Linked DNA regions of Sus scrofa. The protein of the gene in region 2 interacts with the protein of the main gene of each other region in a pairwise test. Links are inferred from orthologs where the notes say so. Each region holds a gene or a part of one and is shown on either strand. Other genes may lie near its edges.

Evidence for each region.
Region 1: the proteins of RABAC1 (region 2) and TRIM32 interact in binary tests that used the Homo sapiens proteins (3 or more experiments, as listed by UniProt). The two-hybrid records come from large-scale screens. The link is inferred for Sus scrofa from reciprocal best matches to the Homo sapiens genes RABAC1 and TRIM32.
Region 3: the proteins of RABAC1 (region 2) and MIEF2 interact in binary tests that used the Homo sapiens proteins (3 or more experiments, as listed by UniProt). The two-hybrid records come from large-scale screens. The link is inferred for Sus scrofa from reciprocal best matches to the Homo sapiens genes RABAC1 and MIEF2.

The regions. Positions count from the first base shown.
Region 1 is NC_010443.5:257,059,462-257,064,583, forward strand, and holds part of TRIM32 (E3 ubiquitin-protein ligase TRIM32), read left to right. Parts: intron 1-4,385; coding exon 4,386-5,122. UniProt on the Homo sapiens protein: E3 ubiquitin ligase that plays a role in various biological processes including neural stem cell differentiation, innate immunity, inflammatory resonse and autophagy.
Region 2 is NC_010448.4:49,930,570-49,937,710, forward strand, and holds RABAC1 (prenylated Rab acceptor protein 1), read left to right. Parts: upstream 1-2,869; 5' UTR 2,870-3,018; coding exon 3,019-3,074; intron 3,075-3,325; coding exon 3,326-3,538; intron 3,539-3,818; coding exon 3,819-3,916; intron 3,917-5,374; coding exon 5,375-5,476; intron 5,477-5,560; coding exon 5,561-5,649; 3' UTR 5,650-5,807; downstream 5,808-7,141. UniProt on the Homo sapiens protein: General Rab protein regulator required for vesicle formation from the Golgi complex. May control vesicle docking and fusion by mediating the action of Rab GTPases to the SNARE complexes.
Region 3 is NC_010454.4:60,470,038-60,474,210, forward strand, and holds the end of MIEF2 (mitochondrial dynamics protein MID49), read right to left. Parts: intron 3,432-4,173; coding exon 3,274-3,431; intron 3,123-3,273; coding exon 2,942-3,122; intron 2,439-2,941; coding exon 1,348-2,438; 3' UTR 608-1,347; downstream 1-607. UniProt on the Homo sapiens protein: Mitochondrial outer membrane protein involved in the regulation of mitochondrial organization.

The DNA of each region.
Region 1 (5,122 bases), on a different chromosome or scaffold from region 2:
AACCTGTGCCACAGAAGCAACCTGGTGCTGGATCCTTAACTTGCTCTGCCACAAGAGAACTCTTCCAGGCTAAGCACTTCATAGGCATTATGCCCAGTTATCATTATAACCTTTTTATAAAGTAATAAAACAGGTTTAGTGAGGTTAAAATAACTTGCCTACTGTCCCACAACATGTAAATGACATGCTGATTTGATGCCAGCTCTGATTTCAATGTATGTGGGTTTTTTGGGTTTTGTTTTTGTTCTCTTACTCTTGTTATTTTTATCATGGACTGGGGAAAGCCTGGTGGTGCCAGAAGCAGCTAGATCAGACTAGGGTATGACTATAGAATTTTCCTGAGTCTTAGGGCAGCTGGAGAAAACACAGCTTACCGGGTGGATTTTCATCTGGAGCTGAATCACAGCAGGGCTAGTATCAGTATGGAGTGCAGAGGCTTAAGCGTGAGATCAAAGGAATTAGGCGGGAGTAAACTAAGGTGAGTTGAAGTGAGGGGTCAAGAGTTGACAGTGCAAAGTACACAACAGGAAATACATGCAAGGTATCAGGAAGGCAGCCAAAATTGTAAACAACATGTGGGGGGTTCATTCTGATTGTTTTTAACTGGCAGAAAATGGGCAGCTAACTTAAAGACTTGGGATAATAAGACAGTTCCTTTCACACATCTGTCTTTTCAGGGAAACTGAGCTCAAACTGACTTCCCATCTGAATCTTTCTTCATATTAACAAGTAATGACCAGCTGTATCTTTCTGGAAGAGAGGGGCTGTATCTGCCTGTCACATAGCTGCTTATCAGGCTAGGCTTCTGATGAAAGAAGTGCTCCCAGGTCGTGGAAATAGGAGACACAGTTCAGGCTTTTTCCAGGTCTATGGCTAACTCCGTGCCTGATGCTTTAGCGATGGGAACTCATGTTTCCTGGCAAAGCACGGCAGCTTTAGGACAGGAATCCCTGACATTCTCTTCTGCCAAAGGGAGCCTAGTGAAGCTGCAGACCGCTGAGATTATTTGGGGAATAGATGTGGGCATAGTATATTCATTTTTTTAAAGTGGATGGCTTAAACAGGGAGGCAGGGAGCCTTTTAATTGTAGGAGGTGGTATGATATTCCAGAAAACTGGGAAAGAATTTGCTGGTAATTTTACAAGTTGGCAGACTTGTTGAATTATCTGATGTGCAGTGCCAGTTCTGGGAGGAACAGATGTCCCTCGCACTATAAGGTAACATGCTCTGGAACCAAATTCCAAACGTTGCCCTCAGTCTGTTGTCCCAGATGATGGAAGAGAGAACTGAAGCTCTTGGTTTGGAACTGGAGGAGGTTTGTATGGATCCTGAGTGGGGGTTTCTAACAGTATTTCTATACCATTACACCCAGACCCATGACATTGAAGAAGTCAGCATTCACAGCTTCTAGGTTCATGATAGGTGGTAATGTGTTATTTTGTTGAGGTATGGATTTGAGTCATAATAGGTTGTAGGGATGGCACGTGGGAGTGGGTCACTCAACTAATAAATCAACCTAACCTACTCTGTGGCAGCTAAATCACATTGTTATTATTCTTTCTTAATTATGGAGAAAATTCTATGCTATAAGGCAGCATTTCCCAGAGTATGGTCTAGAGAACAATATCATTGTGTTATACGATAGTTTAAAAAAAAAAGTCTTGAAGTAATATTGAGTTAAAAAAGCTAAAGATATCCGTACTGCACGGTTCCACTATGTTTGTATCATGTGGCCTTGAGCCAGTTTTTCTGAGCTTTAGCTTCTTCATCTTTGAAATAGGGTCATAAAAAACAGTACATCATAGGGTCATTATGAAGGTTAAATGAGATTAGGTACGTGGAGCATCTAGCATGCTATCCAGCACATAGTAGGCACCAGATGTGTACTCTTTCCCTTCTAGTTGAAGGGAGTGAGATTGACTCAAGGCACATTGTGCAAATCTGCTACAGAATGTTTATCAGACTGTGAGGCAAGGCAAACTATGGGAAAACTCTGCAGTATGTATCTCTGAACTGACGCCCCTTCTTCTATGTGGGTGGAGAAAGAATTGATGACATTTGCAGAGCTTTTCTCAGCTTGCTGCATTGTCCTTAAAACCCAAGCTAACTTGCCCTCCTCCTCCTTATCCTGGATGGTTGACCATCTGCAGATCACGAGCCTGTGCAGGTGCAGCTGTAGGATTTGCACGTAGGAAGTGCTGAATTTATCCATGTGCCTCACCTTGCTAGATCCACCCTTTCTAATTTGGGGATAGACTTTGACATTGACATAAGGCAGCAGGGCACTGAGATCTCTGTGGTTCTACTTCATGAGCATATGTGGATCAAGGAGGAGGGAGAATTCATGGCATGGACTGCTTGTAGGAGGGAGTGTTTCAGGCCCAAAATATACTCTCCTAATAAGGCACTGCCATTTTTCAAATCATCTAGGCTTTCTTAGCTCCACCACTTCCCCACCCTAATCCACTCAGCTGACAGATCTTGGTGATTGTACTTATGGAATACTGCCCAAATGCATCTTGTTTCCATTTCCACCACCTGCTCCCTAGTTTAGGCTCCCCATAACCTCCACCAGGCAGTTTTGCAGTATCTTCCAAACTAGTTTCTCTGCCCTTTCCCCCCACTCCACTTAATCATTTTAGTTCCCTGCTCCAAAACATGCTTTGCTTCTCAGTGCTCATCAGAATGAAGTTCCCAGGTCTCACTTTGGCTCTGATGACATAATCATTCCCCAGTTTCCCTTTCCAAACCAGTTATTCTAATCCCCCTGTATTCTTCCACATGTTTTTTTTTTTTTTTTTTTTTTGCTTTTTTTAGGGCCTCATACATGGCATATGGAAGTTGCTAGGCTAAGGGTCGAATCCGAGCTACAGCCGCCGGCCTACACCACAGCCACAGCCATGCCAGATCCGAGCTGCTTTAGCGACCTATACCACAGCTCACGGCAACAACACCCCATCCTTAATGCCCTGAGCGGGGCCAGGGATTGAACCCGCATCCTCATGGATACTAGTTGGGTTCATTACTGCTGAGCCACAACAGGAACTCCTCTCCTACAATTTTAACCTAAGGATGAGAGGAAAGAGAACTAAATTTTATTTAAAACTTTTTGGTGCTAAGCTAAGTCAGAATTTTATACACTACATATATGATCTCATTTAATCCTTGCATTAGCCTCTAATGGCAGTATTCTCATTTTACAGAAGAGGAAACTCACTCAGAGAGTTTCTTTCTAATACACTGAAGTTCTTGTCCTTTCCCTTGCTTTTCAGCCTTTGTTAAGACTGCCCTTTTGCCTGGTAGCCTTTTCCCCCCATTTCCACATATCTGTGCATCTATCCAGGACCCTATCAAATGCCATCTCCCCTCACAAAATCCTGTTTCCCTCCAACTGGAGTGACTGTCTCTTCACCTCTGTCAGACTTAGTCTATAACCTGTTTATGATATTACTTTCTGTCTTGACTGTTATTTACCTACATGTCTTGTTTTCTTTCCTAAAGTTTGAACATTTGAAGGGCAGGATTTGTGTCCTGAGAAACCTTATTATCAATCTAGTACAATACATGATACTTAGATAGATAGGTTGGTAGGTGAGTAAATAGGAGGACAGATGAAAGAGAAATACATGTGATTTTCTACCTAATGTTTTGCTGATCACCTAAAGCTAAACATCATTAATTTTCTGTTTCTGTATTTGATTCCTAGGACCCCAAATATGACATGATAGACTCTATGTAACACAATAAAATAAAAACCTCCATGCTTTTGTTCACACAGTGATGTTTGCTTAAAATGCTTTTATCCCTCATTGCCTTGTGCTTTAAAGACATCTCAGGAGTGTGCTTCTCGGAAGCCTTCTCTAGTTCCTCTGGGCAGAATCTGTTCCTCCATTCACTGCGTTCCTGCAGAACCTTGTATATAATCCTTTCCTGAACGTATTTTTTCTGTGCTTTTCTCCTAATATAAAGTATGAGTTGTAGACTTTAAAAAAAAAAAATGATCACTAACATTTAGGAAGCATACTGCTTTCCAAGTGCTATACTAAGTGCATCATATTATTTAATCCTTCCCTAAAACATATAAAGTAGACATCATTATTATTTAAACTTTATAGGTGAGTGATGGGGCAGCTGAGTTTGGGGAAGTTTAAGTTACTTCCTTAAGGTCACATAACTAGTATCAGAGACTCTAGAACCTGAAGTCTCACCCACTCATGCAGCACTTAGTTTCCCCTTGTAGTACCGTCAGCTAACACGGAATGGATTTGAGTAAATACTTATTAAATAAGTCAGCGACTGAATGAGTGATGGGAGCCATTCTCTACACGTGTCTTGAGTGCGTTAACTCATGGAGGCGGGGAATAATGGCTTCTTTTTCTCTTTAGCAGGACTTGGCCCTCTGGAGCATGTACACTAGGCTGTTCAGTCCTGGGCTGTGCTAGCAGCCCCTTCACAGGAAGAGCAATGGCTGCAGCCGCAGCCTCTCACCTGAACCTGGATGCCCTCCGGGAAGTGCTGGAATGCCCCATCTGCATGGAGTCCTTCACAGAGGAGCAGCTGCGGCCCAAGCTCCTGCACTGTGGCCATACCATCTGCCGCCAGTGCCTGGAGAAGCTGCTGGCCAGCAGCATCAACGGCGTGCGCTGTCCCTTTTGCAGTAAGATTACCCGCATAACCAGCCTGAGCCAGCTGACGGACAACCTGACCGTGCTGAAGATCATTGACACGGCTGGGCTCAGCGAGGCCGTGGGGCTGCTCATGTGCCGGGCCTGCGGGCGGCGGCTGCCCCGGCAGTTCTGCCGGAGCTGCAGCGTGGTGTTATGTGAGCCCTGCCGGGAGGCGGACCACCAGCCTCCCGGCCACTGCACGCTCCCTGTCAAAGAGGCCGCCGAGGAGCGGCGCCGGGACTTTGGAGAGAAGTTGGCCCGTCTACGGGAGCTCATGGGGGAGCTGCAGCGGCGGAAGGTGGCCTTGGAAGGTGTCTCCAAGGACCTGCAGGCACGGTATAAAGCCGTTCTCCAGGAGTACGGGCACGAGGAGCGCCGGGTCCAGGAGGAGCTGGCTCGCTCTCGGAAGTTCTTCACAGGCTCTTTGGCTGAGGTTGAAAAGTCCAACAGTCAAG
Region 2 (7,141 bases):
GAGGACTCGGGTTCAATCCCTGACCTTGCTTAGTGGGTTAAGGAGCCAGTGTTGAGGCAAGTTGCGGCATATTTCACAGATGCAGCTCAGATCTGCCGTTGCTGCGGCGGTGGTGTAGGCCAGCAGCTGCAGCTCCAAGCCCTGGCCTGGGAACTTTCACGTGCCGCAGGCATGGCTGTAAAAAGCAAAAAAAAAAAAAAAAAAAAGCCTGGGGCTGACAGAGGGGAAGTAAACAGGAACTAGCCAGTCTGATCTTCAAAGCATGGCTCATTCAGCTTCAGCTTGGGACTCCTCCACTACAGTTCCCTGCCTATTGCTCCACCAGTCCAATTGGCGGGCCTGTCCTCCTCATCTCATGAGAAAGCCCTCCAGCAGGCCTCAAAGCCCAAGTCTGAAAGGGCACTGATCCCTGAAGACAGAGTTAAGAGCTACCTGATGTCCCACGTGGGTGTTCTCCTTCAGCCCCACCCAGCCTGGGAAAATGAGGACCAGTCTGTGTAAGGGAGCCCAGGCTTCTGGATACTGCCACACACACTTGTTTTTCCTTTCTTTCTTTCTTTTTTAGGACTGCACCCACAGAATATGGAAGTTCCCAGGCTAGGGATCAAATTAGAGCTACAGTTCATGGCCACAGCCACAGCCACGGCCACAGCCACTGAAATGCCAGGTCTGAGCCTCGTCTTCGACCTATACCACAGCTCACAGCAATGCCAGAGCCTTAACCCACTGAGCGAGGCCAGGGATCAAACCCACAACCTCATGGAACACCTCCACATAATTTTCTTTTTTTTTTTTTCTTTTTTTTTTTTTGTCTTTTTGTTGTTGTTGTTATTGTTGCTATTTCTTGGGCCGCTCCCGCGGCATATGGAGGTTCCCAGGCTAGGGGTCAGATCGGAGCTGCAGCCACCGGCCTACGCCAGAGCCACAGCAACGCGGGATCCAAGCTGCGTCTGCAACCTACACCACAGCTCACAGCAACGCCAGATCGTTAACCCACTGAGCAAGGGCAGGGACTGAACCCGCAACCTCATGGTTCCTAGTCAGATTCGTTAACCACTGCGCCACGACGGGAACTCCTCTTTTTTTTTTTTTTTTTTTTTTTTTTTTTGTCTTTTTGCCTTTTTCTTGGGCTGCTCCCGAGGCATATGGAGGTTCCCAGGCTAGGGGTCCAATCGGAGCTGTAGCCGCCGGCCTACGCCAGAGCCACAGCAACACAGGATCCGAGCCACATCTGCGACCTACACCACAGCTCACGGCAACGCCGGATCGTTAACCCACTGAGCAAGGGCAGGTTCCTAGTCAGATTCATTAACCACTGCGCCATGACGGGAACTCCCCACATAATTTTCTTGAGGCCATATTCTAGGGCATCTCTTTAGAATTCTGGCCGGTTTTCCACAGCTCATTCAGGAGCAAAGACTGAGAGAACCATGGCTGTGGGGACCCGGGGAGAGACAGGCGGCCCACGTGGCAGACACCAGTCCCTCTTTGGGACATCCAAGGGGCCAGCAGCAGCAACTACGTTACAGACATATTTGAGAAGGCTGAACTCTAGAAATAATCATAACATTCATGACAATGTAGTGGCAAAAACAACATCACCATTTATTGAGTGGTTATAAAATAGCAAGACTCTTTCAAGCACTTCACATGGATCATTCAACCCAACCTTAACCCATGAGTGTGGAACCAGGATGATCTTCACTGTCCAATGAAGACAGGGAGTTGATGAAATCAACACAGGCTGGATTTTGACCTCTGACCCAAGAAATCCAGTTCTTTTAGTTGTAACTACTCCGTCTTTTAAAAATTCTCAGAGTTCCCATCATGGCTCAGTGGTAACAAACCCAACAAGTATCCATGGGGACGCGTATTTGATCCTTGGCCTTGCTCAGTGGGTTAAGTGTCTGGCGTTGCTGTGAGCTGTGGTGTAGGTCACAGATGTGCCTCGGATCCCGCCTTGCTGTGGCTGTGGTGTGGGCCAGCAGCTGCAGCTCTGATTCGACCCCTAGCCTGGGAACCTCCACATGCCACGGGTGTGGCCCTAAAATGACAATAAATAAATAAATAAAAATTAAAAATTAAAATCCCTCATTCCCCTCAATAAAACTGGAATAAAAAAAGATTAAAAAAAAAAAAAAACAACTCACCCCTTTACTTTCCCCTACTTCCCTTTACCCTCTCCATAGCAGGGGCATCCTTGAGGTCCTAATCCTAACCCATCCATCCTTAGGAGCCCAGAGTTGTGGGGGAGCTTTGCTCCCCATCTTAGATAACCCCCTTCAGCAACCATGGCCCCCTCACTAGCCTTTGAAGAAGGATGGAATGGATTCCTACAAATATTCTACAGTCTCACTATTCAAATGTGGTCCATGAGTTCCCTGGTGGCTCAGGATCCCCCACTGTCACTGCTGTGCTAGGGTTGCTGCTGTGGCTAGGGTTCGATCCTTAGCCAGAAAACGTAGCATGTCCCCACCCACCCCACTCCCTGCCTGCCACAAAAAAAAAAAAAGAGCCAGTGAATGGGTCTCACCCCAGATCTGATAAATCAGAACATCTGAGTGTTTAATCACGGTTTTTTTTAATATCCTTAGAGTCAGAATGACAGCCCTACACAGTCCCCACTGTACAGAGACTGCTCGGGGTAGTACACGACGTCTTCTGCCTTTACACTCCCCCGACACCCTGACTCCTGACAGCTCACTTTCTCTGACCTCGCACGTCCTACCTTTGAAACTACAACTCCCACAATGCCCCCGAGGCACCCACGTCGCTTTACGCGACTACATCTCCCAAGGTGCTCCTCGAGCCATGCAGCCACCAGGGCGCCTACTCTCCCCGACATCGTCAGGACTACAACTCCCATAATACTCCGTGACAAACCTACCGCCCCCAGCGGCGCCGGAACGGCGCCACGTCCCCTCCGGCCACTTCGAGTGAGGCCGGTTTCGGGCGGGGCCCGTGGGGTGTGGAGGGCCCCAGCCTCGTTACAGCGGTTCTTCCCCTCACAACACAGACATGGCGGCCGAGAAGGACCAGCAGAAGGATGCCGAGGCGGAAGGGCTGAGCGCCACGTAAGCAAGTCTAATCTAGCCCCCCTGACCTAGACCCGAGAGTCATGGCTTCTCGCCCCTCATCCCTGGGGAGTTAGGAATCCGGACTCCTGGCCCCGGCTCAATCCCTTCCTCCCCTGGAATCCAGGAGTCCTGGACCATATCTCCCCCGCCCCCCAGAACCCCGGAGTCCCGCTCCCCTCGGCCCCCTTCTTGCTCGGGGGTCCGGGCTCCAACCCGGTCTACCGCTGACCTGGTCCCGCACCCCCCAGGACCCTGCTGCCGAAACTGATTCCCTCTGGCGCGGGCCGTGAGTGGCTGGAGCGGCGCCGTGCTACCATCCGCCCCTGGGGCTCCTTCGTGGACCAGCGGCGTTTTTCGCGTCCCCGCAACCTGGGCGAGCTTTGCCAGCGCCTCGTACGCAACGTGGAATACTACCAAAGCAACTATGTGTTTGTGTTCCTGGGCCTCATCCTGTACTGCGTGTGAGTGTCTCTCTGGCCAGAACAGCCCCCCTCAGCCAGGCCCCGCCCCCGCCAGGCTGCCATGTCTGCACTGGCCAGGCCCTGTCCCCATGGGATAGCTCTGTGGGATCTTTACCCCAGAGGACCAGGTCCCTACTCCATCAGCCTGGCTGGGATGCAGGGGGACCAAACATGACCTAGACTTGCGTGGTCCTAAGGACGTCCCCAGGTGTAGAAGGTCAGGGCCTTCGTGTCTGACGCAGCCCCAGCGGCCTGACTGTGCCTCCCTGCCCTCCTCCAGGGTAACATCGCCCATGCTGCTGGTAGCTCTGGCTGTCTTCTTTGGCGCCTGTTACATCCTCTATCTGCGCACGTTGCAGTCCAAGTTTGTGCTGTTTGGTGAGAAATCTGCCCAAACTCCTCTGATCCTGGCTCTTTGAATCCAAGCCTTAGACCTCAAACCTGAGTCCTTTTGAACCCAAGTCTGCCCAATCCTAGACCTACAGTAGATTCCCCATACCCACACCTGATGCTCCTATCCACTCTCAGTCCCCCCAAATTGCTGTTTCCCAAACCCAGAAGATATCCAAGAACCACTCCACCTAGCCGCTGGCCTTTTAAACCTCCTCCTTCTCTCTCCCTCATCTGCCAAAAGCATCAGCTGCAAGTACCCACATTGGACGCCAGGTGGCGACTTTACTCTAGCCTAAATCTGTCCTCCCCCTTTCGTGCTTCCTGGGATGGGAGTAGAAAAATCTTGGGACTTCTCAGAGGGAAGCTGAGGCCTGTGGCTCATGTGGTCCTAGACTGGCACCAAGCACCACTGGGAAGAAAGAGGGCCTGAGTTCCCAACTAAGGGAAACTCAAGGTTTGGAGTGGAGATAAGGGGGAGTTGGAATCAAAGAAACAGGTAGACCTAAGACAGAATCCATCAGAAGCCTGCCAGTTATGTATCTGGTAAGGGTGGGCTGGGTGGAGGAGCATGTCAGGCGAGCACAGGGCACAGAGGGAGCGTCCAGAGCATAGTCACAACTTGTCTTCAGCCACTGCTGCCGCCAGGGTTTGCAAGTCTGACTTTCCAATCTGCCACAAGAAGCCAGATGTCTATACAGCCATCTCTCAGCTTTTCTAGGAGCCCCCAGATTTTGGATACCCAAATCCGAGGATGCTCAAGTTGCTGATGTAGCAATGATGTAGTACAGTGACCCACGGGTGCCCATCTGCGGATACAGAGGGCCGACTGTATTGCTGTGTGAAATCATTCTGTCTGTATGTCAGCAGCAAATCAACAAATCGTGGCTCAGCGGTTAACAAGCCTGACTAGGTTCCACGAGGATGCGGGTTCGACCCCTGGCCTCGCTCAGGGTGTTAAGGATCTGGTGTTGCCGTGAGCTGTGGTGTAGGTTGCAGACGTGTCTCGGATCTCGCGTTGTTGTGGCTGTGGATCTGATTCGACCCCTAGCCTGGAAACTTCCATGTGCTGTGGGTGCGGCCCTAAAAAGCAAAAAAATTATTGTGGAATAATATGCAAACTCAAAAAACATGTCTAGGTGTCAGCCTGGGCCTTTGGGATGCCAGTTGGAAAACCCAGGTCTATGCGAGGGCAGGTTGGAGCAGGAAAGCTGTAGTTTGGGGAGGGAGAGTCTGGGAGCTTCCTAGCAGAAGTAAAGTTGAAGGGTGGAGGGCGGTGGGGGGGATTACTGAGGAAGGTGCACTGTTTCAGGGGACAGTGGGTGGGGACGCTGGGGAAATGGCTGGGGCCGGACTTGGAGGGCCTTGGCATAAGGCATTTTGGGGGTTACTCTGGGAGAGGGGACAGGTGTGGAACAGCTGTCCCAATGCCATCTGCCCCCCCAGGCCGAGAGGTGAGCCCCGCCCATCAGTATGCCCTGGCCGGGGGCGTCTCCTTTCCCTTCTTCTGGCTGGCTGGCGCGGGATCCGCCGTCTTCTGGGTCCTAGGTGAGTGAGTACAGGGTCTCGGTGGCGCGGTGGGCAGTGGGGGCCGGGGAGGCAGCAGGCCCTGAGCTGCCCGTTTTCCCCCAGGAGCCACCCTCGTGGTCATCGGCTCCCACGCCGCCTTCCACCAGATAGAGGCTGTGGACGGGGAGGAGCTGCAGATGGAACCTGTGTGAGGTGTCTTCAAGGACATGTCGGCCTCCCAAGCCAGCTGCCCCGTCCCTTCTCAGCCCCATCCCGCATGGCTCTGCTCTTGCCAAAGGCCCCCTTCCCATTACAAGCCCAGGGAGGGACTCCAGCTTTGGAAATAAAGCTGTTACAGTTGTTCAGCAAATATTCTCCCAGGGTCTTCTGTGCATGTGTGCAGGGTGATGTGGGATCCTCCAGGGACCAAGAAGGTGGGGGAAGGGCCCCTGGCAGGGGGAGACAATAAGCAAGATAAATAGCGCCATTGGCCAGTGGGCATGAGTTCTGAGGAGGAGAAGACACCACGCTCATGTTCAGTGATGTGCCAGGAGGACTCAGGACTCAGCAGTTCCAGTTCTACGTGGAATCTGGCATTGTCGCTGCTGGGCTTGAGTCGCTGCTGTGACCCGAGAACTTCCATGAGCATGGATGTGGCCAGAAAAAAAAATGTACGCTCAGCTGAGGTTATTGTTGTGAAAGGCTATAAAGCAAAATCAGCAAAGGTAGAGTTCCTGTTGTGGCTCAGTGGAAATGAACCTAATATCTATGAGGACACAGGTTCGATCCCTGGCCCCGCTCAGGGGTTAAGGATCTGGTGTTACTGTGAGCTGTGGTGTAGGTTGCAGACACGTCTCGGATATGGCATTGCTGTGGCTGTGGTGTAGGCTGGCAGCTGCAGCTCCAATTTGACCCCTAGCCTGGGAACCTCTGTATGTACTTGAGGCCCTAAAAAAAGAAAAAGAAAAGAAAAAGAAAAAATTATCAAAGGAAGAAGGCACATAGGGTGAAGTCCCAAGGAAAACCAGGCACAAGCTTCCAGAGTCCTCTCCCAGTGGCCTCGCCCCAGGTTGCATTAAAATGCCCCCAGTGAGGAGTTCCCGTCGTGGCGCAGTGGTTAATGAATCCGACTAGGAACCATGAGGTTGCGGGTTCAGTCCCTGCCCTTGCTCAGTGGGTTAATGATACGGCATTGCCGTGAGCTGTGATGTAGGTTGCAGACGCAGCTTGGATCCCGTGTTGCTGTGGCTCTGGCGTAGGCCAGTGGCTACAGCTCCGATTCGACCCCTAGCCTGGGAACCTCCATATGCCGTGGGAGCGGCCCAAAAAATAGAAAAAAGACAAAAAATAAATAAATTAAAAAAAAATAAAATGCCCCCAGCAGTGAGCCGTGACACACACGGGTACAGTGTCTGCCAGGGAAGGTCATGATGACACTCAGACCCAGGACTATTACTGGGACGGGGGTGGGGTGGGGGGGTGGCCACATAAGCACCATCTGTCTGGCATGGACCAGAATTCCAGAGTCCCAGAAGGAAAGCGGATGTTCAGCATAAACAACATTGTTTGCACAAACAGCTTAGACACAAGACTGCCCTGTCGGGGAGCAGTGAGGACCTGCTGAAATCCAGGTATCTAGATGCCAGCCAAGGGCCACTGTGTGAGCCAGCCTCCCTAAGGAGAGCCTACTACCTTAACCCTTCT
Region 3 (4,173 bases), on a different chromosome or scaffold from region 2:
GACTTGAGGTGGGATCTCAGTTCCCAGACTAGGGATGGAGCCCAGGCTGCAGCAGTGAAGCCACTGAGTCCTAACCACTGGGCCACCAGGGAGCTCCCTGTCCTTGCTTTTTCTCACTAAAGTGAGGTGAGAGGAGCAGACCTGTGAAGCACGAGGCTACAGAAGGGACACGTGTGAGGTCGGGTCATCCAGGAGGGCCCCTGACCCCACTGGTGTCCCACCTGCTCCCCGGAAGCGTCCAGCAGCGCTTCACCTGTTGGTGCCCAAGACCCCAGAGTGCTCGGCTTTGGTCGGATGCAGGCCTGTAGGGGAGCTGGGCGAGATGCTAAGTCTGTGGTGACAAGGAAGTGAGCCACAGCCACGGCTCCCATGGGGACAGAGACGCACTGGCCTCCCTGTCTCTACGAGGTGGGGAGCTGGCCCTCCCTCTGCAGTGACAGGCCTGGCCCAAGGGCTCCCGGGCAGCCCCCCTCCCAGGAAGCTCCAGGGCTCCCGCGTCGGATGGTAAACAAAGTCCTGCCTAGTGGGTTCCCGTCGACTCTGTCCAGCATCTCGTGGCGTTCTCCTTCCCTGCCACCTACTTTCCCATCAAGGCCACCACTTCGGTTTGGTCCCAAGCCCCTCTGGCCGGGCTCAAAAACCTGCGTGTCAGGCCAGCGTGAGCCCCACAGACACGGGCTTTTCCTTTATTCTCCTTCAGTCCTCAAGGCAGAGAGCTTTGCTTCAGCAGGAAGGAGACCAGAGACAGGTGAGACCCCCTCCCCAGCCCCCAGCCCCACCAGCTTCAGGAGGGCACAGCTGGTGCAGGCACCCCAGGAGCTGGGTGCAGTGGCAGCCAGGGGACACCCTCGGCTCTGGGCCAGGCGGGCGCCACGGAGGACCTCGGCTCCCCCAGTGAGGACAGGGTTCTCCTGGGGCCTCCACTCGCCCGGCTGGTGGGGAGCGGGAAACAGCCTCTCCTGAAGCGTGAAGTGGGCCCCACTCCAGGCTACAGCCGGACGAGCAGAGCGGGCACAGCGTTGAAAACGCTGGCCTTTAAGTCAGCAGAGAGCCGTGTGCCACAGGTGACTCCAGCCACCGGGAGTGAAACAGACACAGTGGCCACAGCCCAGCAGCTTTGCGATGCCCACAACTGGCACTAAAGAAATTGCGACTCTCTCTTGGGACAGGAAAGCCGAGCAGTCTCGCCCCTAGGGGGACAGCAAGAGCCCGGCTCTGTCTGTAACTCGCTGCTTGTGACTGGGGGTCGGGGCAGCCCCAGGCCGAAGAGCCAAGTGCGAGTGCAGGCGGCCCCGGGCTCCAGCGCTGTCGCCCAGCCCGTGCCTACCTGCACCCTCGTGTTCTGGCTCAAGCAAGAGAAAGGGGCTCTCCAAGCACCGGGGGCAGCAGCTGTTCAGGGGCCTGCAGCCCACGGAAGAGCGCACAGCCCAGGTCATCAATGTCCTCGTCCCGCAGGCCGCCCAGGAGGTCCACGCGGTGGTTGAAGTGGCAGGGCAGGCTGGCCCGCTCCAGGCTGCCGATGAGAGACTCCAGGGCCTGCAGGAAGCGCTCCCCCAGGGCCTCCTCGGCCCAGTCGGCCGCCTCCTCCCCCAGGCGCAGGACCACCTGGGTCAGGTGGCTGCGGCCCAGCCGCCCCAGCACCGGGTGGCGGTGGCAGACACCGCAGAGCAGCAGCAGCAGCCTCCGGCGGGTCCCAGCATCGCCCTCATCCAGGGCCCGCAGCCTGGCGGCCTCCGCAGAATACAAGTCCTGCAGCCAGAGGTTCCCTGCCAGCCCCTCCAAGGGCCAGGCCAGCAGGAGGCGCTCTCCAGCCGGGGCGCCGGCGACAGCGAGGAGCACAGCCACGGTGAGCTCCAGACGCTCGTGCTGGACCTCGAGCAGCAGCTCCTCTGAGGCCACGCGTGGCCGGATCAGACACCCGAGGAGGCTGCCGATGGCCGGCCAGTTGACGGAGGCGGTCAGGGCCTTGCGGAGCAGCTCCAGCAGGACGCGGGAGGAGAGGTAGCCGCCCACCAGGAAGCGGTCCCAGGGGCTGCTCCCACGAGGGCGGAACTCCAGCTGAGTTCTGCGCACGGCCCAGCAGCGAGGGTCCTGAGCCACAGTGTCCACACCGGGCACCAGGCTCCACAGGCCCGGCTCCAGTGCCAAGGGCACCAGGAGACGCACGGGGTCAGTGGCTCCTGCCTGCAGCCCATCGTAGAGCGGCCCGCCAGGCACCAGTGCCCCGAAGGGCAGCTCTGGGAACTTGTTCCGCAAGTAGGCCTGCAGCTCCAGGGCAATATCACCGGCCAGCTGCTTGGCCAGAGTCACGTGAGCCACCGGGACGGTCACGTAGTCCCGCTCGAATGCCAGCAGCTTCTCCTGGAACGTCAGGCACAAGGATGGCGCTGGGGAGCTGAGCTGAGGCGCCTTCTGGGGATCTGCGTCTGCGGGCACCTCTGCAGAGTGAAGGGGCCGGGGGGTGTCAGTGGGACCCTGCCCAGCCAGCAGCTGACTCTGCGACGGCCCGGGGCCTCGCTCCCCTCGCCTGTGATGGGACCTCCTGAGAAAGCACTGCGCTCGGGCTCTCATGCACAGCGAGCTCGGTGACAAATTCCCCAAGGTCCCCAGCACCCTGAGGCTAACTAAAACAGCTTCAACAGGGTGGGACACGGGCCCGGTGCTCAGCTTCCCCATCAGAGGGCCCCCACTGTCGCAACGCTGCCACCTCGCTCCAGCGCCACCCCTGGGGTCCCCACGTCCTGATGGTTGGAGCCTCAGTCCCCCAGGAGGAGGAAGGGCAGAGAAACACGTCACTAAAATTCAGGGAGCCCAAGGCCGGGGGGGAGCCAGGCCCCTCGTGGGTCATTCGGTGAGTCAGTGGCAGAGCCTGGGCTGCGTCTCCAGAACACGACCACCAAATAAGGGGCCCACCCAGGTCAGACGGGAGGCGTCAGCTCACCTGGGGCAGAGGGTGAGGGGGCCCGGAGTGGCACCGACTGGCTGAGGGCGGCGGGTGGGGGCCGACGCTGGAGGCACGGCGTGGCCTTGAGCAGGCTCAGTTCCTTCCAGCTCTCCTCCAGGCACGTGGCGTCCCCCTTGGCATCAGCCTCATCCTGAGAGCTGGTGGCCCTGTCGATGAGCTGCAGGCAGAGTGACATGGATGAGGGCATCTGAAGCCCAGGCAGCCGCAGCAGAGCCAAGGGCAAAGCGATCTAGGCTGGTGGGGCAGAGGCAGGTGTAGCCTCGGGCACTCCCACCACCCCTGGCCCACTCTGGCCAGCCCCACCGTACCCGCTTCACAGCCAGCGTGGCAATGCCCAGCACGGCAGCCCCGCCCACACCCAGCACCAGGCGGGCATTGGCCAGGAGAAAGTCCACAGCGCTGCCCAGCGCCTCGCCGTCACGCCGCTTGCCCCGATTCTGGGAGAACTCTGCCATGGTTGGTCCACCTGTAAGAGAGCCAGGGCACAGTGTAAGAGAGCCAGGGCACAGTGACTGCTCAGCTGGGGTGGGGGGGGGGCATGGCCAGCCTGTCAGCAGGACAGCAGGGTGACATCATGCCAGGGTCACTGAGTCAGGGGGCTTCCTGAGAACTTCTGAGAATGGGGCCACTTGCAGGGTTTCCTGGGAGGCCTCCCTGCCCAAGTGCCCCACCCAAACCTGCAAACAACCAGCCCCCCGGGTCTCAGAGGGAAGGCCCTGAGGCCCACGGCAGGGCAGGGAAGGGAGGCCACATCCATCCCACCCTCAGGACCCCCGACGTCGCCAGAGACCGTGAATGAGATGGATCTCACTGCCACCACCCCCACTTTGCAGAGAATCAGGTGGCTGACCCACACGGTGAGTGCAAAGCCTCTAGACCCTCACCCTCCCCACGGTCAGGTCCCAGGGGTGGCCTCGTCCTGGTTTCTGACCAGGGCTGGCAAAGCTGGAGGAAACCAAGGCCCAGAGAAGGCCACAGCTTGGGGTCCTAGCAGCTTGCCCTGAACCCCTCTCAGACCTTTGGGGTCACCTCAGTGAAGCTCAGGGGGCCTCAGCTATAACCCCCCACCCGCCAGTCTCAGCAGGGCAGCCCCCAGAGGCAGAACTGTCGAGTCTGAGAAAGCGAGGTCGCTGCCCCGGGGGTGGGGGCAGGAGCTACCTGCAACAGGTATGTGCCAGAGGAGGTTAAAGGCCCCACTGTGAGGGCAG